Linked DNA regions of Tribolium castaneum. The protein of the gene in region 1 interacts with the protein of each later gene in a pairwise test. Links are inferred from orthologs where the notes say so. Each region holds a gene or a part of one and is shown in the gene's direction. Other genes may lie near its edges.

Region 1 (3,632 bases):
TGTCTTCGGGGAGCTGCCTCCGGTTCATTCTGTCCCGTAATTCCGTGGGCACCTTTTGCAGAATGGTCTCCAAGTGGGCGTGCAATGGATGCCGCGAATTAATGGCCAATGAGACGGCTTGTAGCGACTAAAACAATTGAATAACTATGGAAATTCAACGAATCAGTAATGGAACCTCGAGGACATCGTCGACGGTTTCCTCGGCCTCGCACTTGTCCGAACTCAGCTTGGCGGCCTTGAAATACGAATGTGTTAGCACAAAACTGTGGTTTGAGTTGTTCCACAGAGTTCGAGGGACTTCAACTAAAGCGTATCCGAACAGCAAAACTAGGAGGAATAAGCCCCAAGTATTGCTAGCTGACGAAGCAATTGCTTTTAGTTTTGACCAGTCGAGGTGAATCCCAGGCTGGAGGGCCAAGTAAATTAGTAGAACTCCACAGATTAGCAAATAAGAGCCGTAATAAATCGCATTGTCGATTACAGCCGATTTCAATTTGCCTTTGACTGTAAAATCACCAGCTTTGATGTACGATTGCATCATGGGCATGACTAGCCTGGAATTATTGTTTTAGTTGAAATTTTGTGTGTGAAAACTTATACCAAGTTAAGCACTGAGTGCTCCAATACACAGTACGCCACAAGTTCGGAAAAACCTCATGAGGGACTCGACTCCACGGCTCCTCACACTTTTCAATACTTTTATTTGTAACATTTTGCATCAGTGAAGAAGTGGCGTTGTCAAAAGTGTCATGTTCTTCCTTACACTGGCGGTAAACCGTCTAGGAACAAATCTGTGATTGACTGAAACTGACTATTGGTCACTCACCGAAATTACGTCCAACGGAAGCGCGAAAATAATCAAGAAACTGAAATACCAAGCAAGAAGCACAATCAAGGTCACCACAATGTGGTGCCTGAACCAGTTCCCATATCGGTACAAGACCGTCGAGGCAAGAATAAAAGAGAGCAAAATTTTCGAAATCAGCGGCCCGTAATTCATTTTTACTCGTCTTTGGGACTCTGCTGGGATTGCGATTTTTGGGCCTCTTGTTGCATTTTCTCCAATTTTTCCAAAGTGAAACTCTTAAGGGGGATCAGACGGGGTTTGCACAACACCAAGTCCTGGATGTCTTCAATGATGATTTGTCCTTTCTTAGGCAAAATCGGTTTTGGTTTTTCCACACTGGACATTGTCACTAAATGACATCACAACATAGTCATCAATATCGATCGTCCAAGTAATTAGAGATTTCCTGTGGCCGGAAAATTAATCCGCACGTGAAAATTCCGAAAATATTGAACCTTCACACACACACACACGAAACGTCACTTTGACAAGTGTCAGTTGGCAATGTGGCCAATATTGATTACTGGGTTATCACCAATAATTTGCGCCAATTTTCGCCCAAATCATCACATTTGACTTAATTATTAACTGGTATTGTGTGTCCGTGTCGAAATTGGGATTATTAGAATAGATATCAAAATTTTTCGTGAAATACACATGGGTTTGCGTTTCTCCGATTGGCGACAATTCGTCAAGGATGTCGGTATAGCCACCAACCATAGAATCCACCAACATTGCGCGATCTTCAGCTGACTTCACGCAAGTAAAAAAAAGTGGGGTTAATAACAACAAAAACATGTTAAATCACTTGAAACGGGTGATTTATCTCGAAAAATGCCCCCGTGGACGCTTCATGTCTGTAAAACGCAAATACCCCATCGATCGCGACGAGGCAAAATCACTGCCTGTCTTTGACTACGGTACTAGTAAAAAGTCGTACAAACGAGTGTTTGTTTGGGGCAACCTTATGTCGGGGGCCTTAGGTATTCCGTATTTGAGACGCAACGAAAATGTCATGCATCGGGAGACAGTAGACATCCCAAAGCGGCTAGGTTTTGCTGAAAAATTCCCAGTACGTTGTTCCCGCAAGTTTCAATATTTTAATGAAAGTTGCAGGTGACTACTGCCGCTTGTGGCTTCGGTTTCACCGCGTTTGGTGTTGATACCGAATCTGAAGATAAATTGTACGGAACGGGCCTTAATACCGACTCACAAATTGGAAGACATGAAGTGCGTCAAGGGCACCCTTTGGAGATTATTTACTTCCCGCAGGCCATTAAACTACCTTTAAAAAACCCAACCAAAACTCGGATACGAAAGTTAGCGGCGGGGCGTGCACATCTCGTGGTGTTAACAGACGAGGGACTCTTCCTCCTAGGCAATAACGCCTACGGCCAGTGCGGGCGCGAAATCATCCAAGACGAAAATTATTTTTTAAGTAATTACATAAACCACATTCCTGATATAGACAGTAAGAAAGTAACCGACATTGAATGTGGTCAAGACCACACTTTGGCCGTAACTGACGACGGGGCTGTGTATTCCTGCGGGTGGGGGGCTGACGGCCAAACGGGCCTCGGCACGTTTGACAACACAAGTGCCTTCACGAGAATCACGGGCGAGATTGAGTCCGAAAAAATAGTCAAAATATCGTCGCGATCCGACTTCGCGTTGGCCCTTAATGACAGGGGCGAAGTCTTCGGCTGGGGCAACGCTGAGTACGACCAGATCCCCACAATAAACAACGAGCAACAAGTGAGCAACCCAGTCCACCTCAAGCACCTGAAAGTGGGCAAAGTCGTGGATGTGGCAGCCGGGGGCTCATTTTGCCTCGCTTTGAACGAACACGGGGAGGTTTTCGTGTGGGGCTACGGTCTAGTCCTCGGGGGGCCCAAGGCCGAGCAAACCTCCCGCCCGAGGAAACTCCCCGAGGTTTTGTTCGGCAGGAACGACTTTCAACCTAACAACAGGGTGGTACAAGTGGCTTGTGGGTTGAGCTACGCCATGGCTGTGACGAGTCTGGGGGATGTTTACGCGTGGGGGCGCAACATGAGGGGCTGTCTGGGGCTGGGGTTCGCCAACGACCAGAACTTCCCGTTTAAAGTGGCGCTAGGGGGCTACGCGTCGAAGGTGTTTTGCGGGTATGACCACACGGTGGCACTTTGTAAACCTTTTATTTAATAAATTTAAGAGTAAAAAATAATTTCAATTTTATGCCTCCACGTCTGACCCGTTTTCGTCAAAAACGAAATTTTCGTTGGCTTTTCCATTGGGGTACCGTAACTGCACACTAGGCCGGGCTTGTGACACCCGATTTGGGGCTATGCTCATTCTTTGTTGGACGTAAGCAAGGCTTTTCTTCCTAAAGGCGCTAATGCTCGGGTCTAAAAAATAAATCAGTGATGGTTTCGCCCACAAATTGGTGACTTACTGTTGCTTGAAGTGCTCCCTATTTGAGTGACTCGCCTTTGGAACGCTTCATCCAAATAAAATATGGGCTTGTTCTCACCACCACCGCTCGTTTGCGCCAAATTACTTACTGTTTTTCGCATTTCGACCGGAACTTCCGTTTGGTCCTCGTATTCGTTGTTTATACCTTTTAGTTTTTGTAAATCTGCGACTATTTTTATAGGGTCGCGGGACCTGAGTTCGTCCACAGTCATTTCGTCGATTGGTTTGCTGCACAGATCGAAGTCTAATTGTGTTTTTGTGATGATTTGGGAGAAGGTGCCGAAGCGGTGGATCATCATTGCGAAGAACTGGATCACCATAAGCAGGGCGAAAA
Region 2 (2,837 bases), on another chromosome or scaffold:
CATACCGATGATAAAGATATCGAGTGGTACAAGTGCGGGGAATGCGAGTATAAGGCTAAACTTAAGGCGAGTTTGAAGGATCACGTCTTAAGGAAACACGAAACGGGTGATATTAAGTGGTTTAAGTGCGATGACTGCGAGTATAAGACTTTCAAAAGATATTTGTTAAAGACACACGTGAAAAACCATCACAAAGACAAAAATTCCATTTAAACGTTTAGTTTAGATTAAAACATCTAAAATTTTTCTCCTGTTGGTTTTATTTACACACAACCCGAAAAAAATTGCATTCGAGATGAAAAAGTGGGTAACCTGTTGCAAAATGCTGGGGTGTCAAAGTAGTCAAGTATCCGTGACTTCAATCAGTTCTGCCAGGCGATAGTAGGCGGAGCTTTAAAATATTTGAAAATCGAGGCGCCAGCTAGATTTAATATTATTAAATTTTGTAAAATTAATAAGAATCATAGAAAATATTCAAAATATAATAACAAAATGAAAAAACTACAAAACGGTGACATAACAAAATGAAGAGAAACTTTATAAAACTATAAAGTATAATCCTATCTGTTAATCGTTTTCCATGTAATTTTTTAAAATAAATTTGTATGGTTTTATTTAAAAACAATCTGTGTGACTGATGTGAGCAAAAAAAGCTTACTTTGTGTTAGTTGTTATTAAAGCAACACAATAACAAATGAATACTGAGATGCATAACTTACTTTGCAGCAACTACTTAGCAACTTATGCTGTGCAAACTAATGTAGTATTTCATATAGAGGGTGTCTCAAACAAAATTGGCGAATTTCGAGTTGTTTAGAAACAAAATAAAGATTCGGGGCTTCCCCTCAAAGATACATTGGTTTGAAGGTGCATTTCAGGTACACTTTGAATTACCTTTATTTCAAGTACAGGATAAAACTTTTAGGGCCGGTTTATAAAAAGCTTCATCAAATTTTAATTTATTTTTAAAAGTTAACAACCGAATAGACCAATGAAATTGGCGCAATTTGATATCACGTGACCAGTTAATCACGCATTTAATTGTGAATTAAATTAATGAAGCTTATATAAACCCGTCCTTTGTTTTTATTGTTGGTTATGGTATTGATGACTGTGGAAAATAATAATGCAAACAATTTCTCGAAAAATTAGCTTTATTTTGGAATAAAAAATCTTAAAATTTTGCAATTTGCGTTTCATTAAAAAACATACAAGGTTTACGGAAGCGTCATTAATTTAATTCGCAATTAAATGTGTGAATAACTGATCACGTGACTAAATTGAACAAATGTGATTTTTTTTATTTTCCTCAATTTTTTTCGACGACAGCTCTATTTTTGGAATTTTCTAGTTATTTTTTTCATCATGTTGGCTATGTTTTTAGTGTGATTTTCCTGATTCGTTTATGGGGGTTTCCCAAATTTGTTGAACTCACTTGAATGAAATAAATGAATTATAAATGGTAAAACAAACGAAATTACGTTTTTTTGTGTAAAAATTAGGTTCATTATCATTTTATCAGTAAAAACCTGTGACCTTAGTGGTATTACATAACCTCAAAAGTCGCGCGTTTTGTATCACAGTTGTGATACAATGAACCGTCTCGAACTCACGTTTGCAATTTTGAAACCTCACGTCATAAAACAGCCCCTTGCTGTTGAAAAAATACGAAATATAATCCTAACCTCGAACTTCAAAGTGGTCAAATCAAAAAGACACACAATTCAGCTTCACGAAGCCGAATCGTTTTACCACGAACACAAAACCAAATTCTTCTACAAACGCTTAGTTACGTTCATGACCAGGTAAAGGCCCAGTTGGCTAAAATCAGAACTAAGGGGGTTCCCCTAGTGGCCCGTCCGATTTTTATATTCTAGCCCGGGAAGATGCGATCAAAACGTGGCGCCAACTCATGGGCCCCACTAAAGTATTCAAGACACAATTCGAGGCCCCCGACTCGATTCGGGGCCAATTCGGGCTCTCGGACACCAGAAACGCGACACATGGCTCAGGTTCGATTATTTTTATTTTAACAAATCACCGATAATAAATAATTTCAGACTCACCCGAGTCGGTAAAGAAGGAAATCGGCCTGTTCTTCCCCCACTTCGACATCGAACAGTGGTACAAACTTGACGAGCCCAAATTTAGACTAAACCAAACTGAATTTATTAAAGAGAATTTTGTACACATAATAAAATAAACAATCACGCATCAGCTTTAACAAACACTTTGGGTTTTTGGAAAATTTTAATCACTTCGTCGATTCGTTTCAACTCGTCCTCTATTTCCATTTTGCGTTTTCGCTTCTTGAGGGTGTCATTACTGACAGGCATTGAGTTCAATTCCTTAATCAAGGCGGCATAATCTGCAAAAAAAAAACGATAAAACAAACACAATTTGGGGGAAATACCCACTTTCACGAGCCACCCTTAAGTACTCTCTCCTCTCATCATCAGGCAATAAAACCAGACCGGAAATATTTTCTTCAAACACACCGGACTTTTCGTCCTTGGCCAATTTTTTCGTCTCTTTGAGGTATCTCGGGACTACGCCCTTTTGATACTCGGGGGGCGCTTTCGTCGGGTCCGGAGACTCCTCCCGCTTTTGTTTACTCACTTTAATGTTTTTAATATTTTGCTTGATGTAATTCTGCTTGTCTTCTAAGTCTAGTTTTTGCATGCTTTTGGCCAAGGGGGCGTCGCCTTGCTCGCGCCCCCGATGCGATAATTTCACCTTCGCGACCGCCGGACTTGGGTATTTCAGTGGACCTGTTTCGTACATTTTGGGCACATCTTCAGGCCGTTCGGTCTGCACGCCCCGTGTTGTGGTCTTCT

Evidence for each region. The genes of interacting proteins can lie anywhere in the genome.
Region 2: the proteins of RCC1-like G exchanging factor-like protein (region 1) and nucleoside diphosphate kinase 6 interact in binary tests that used the Homo sapiens proteins (3 or more experiments, as listed by UniProt). The link is inferred for Tribolium castaneum from reciprocal best matches to the Homo sapiens genes RCC1L and NME6.

The regions. Positions count from the first base shown.
Region 1 is NC_087395.1:14,163,069-14,166,700, forward strand, and holds RCC1-like G exchanging factor-like protein, read left to right. Parts: upstream 1-1,411; 5' UTR 1,412-1,643; coding exon 1,644-1,919; intron 1,920-1,963; coding exon 1,964-3,028; 3' UTR 3,029-3,050; downstream 3,051-3,632. Other genes in the region: LMBR1 domain-containing protein 2 homolog, read right to left, coding at 1-127, 176-554, 601-779, 827-1,000; BBIP1 (BBSome-interacting protein 1-like), read right to left, coding at 1,003-1,191; Chs2 (chitin synthase 2), read right to left, coding at 3,059-3,231, 3,279-3,632. UniProt on the Homo sapiens protein: Guanine nucleotide exchange factor (GEF) for mitochondrial dynamin-related GTPase OPA1. Activates OPA1, by exchanging bound GDP for free GTP, and drives OPA1 and MFN1-dependent mitochondrial fusion. Plays an essential role in mitochondrial ribosome biogenesis.
Region 2 is NC_087399.1:8,509,927-8,512,763, reverse strand, and holds nucleoside diphosphate kinase 6, read left to right. Parts: upstream 1-1,378; 5' UTR 1,379-1,462; intron 1,463-1,522; 5' UTR 1,523-1,593; coding exon 1,594-1,805; intron 1,806-1,851; coding exon 1,852-2,012; intron 2,013-2,060; coding exon 2,061-2,203; 3' UTR 2,204-2,207; downstream 2,208-2,837. Other genes in the region: zinc finger protein 142, read left to right, coding at 1-213; enkurin domain-containing protein 1, read right to left, coding at 2,208-2,368, 2,418-2,837. UniProt on the Homo sapiens protein: Major role in the synthesis of nucleoside triphosphates other than ATP. The ATP gamma phosphate is transferred to the NDP beta phosphate via a ping-pong mechanism, using a phosphorylated active-site intermediate. Inhibitor of p53-induced apoptosis.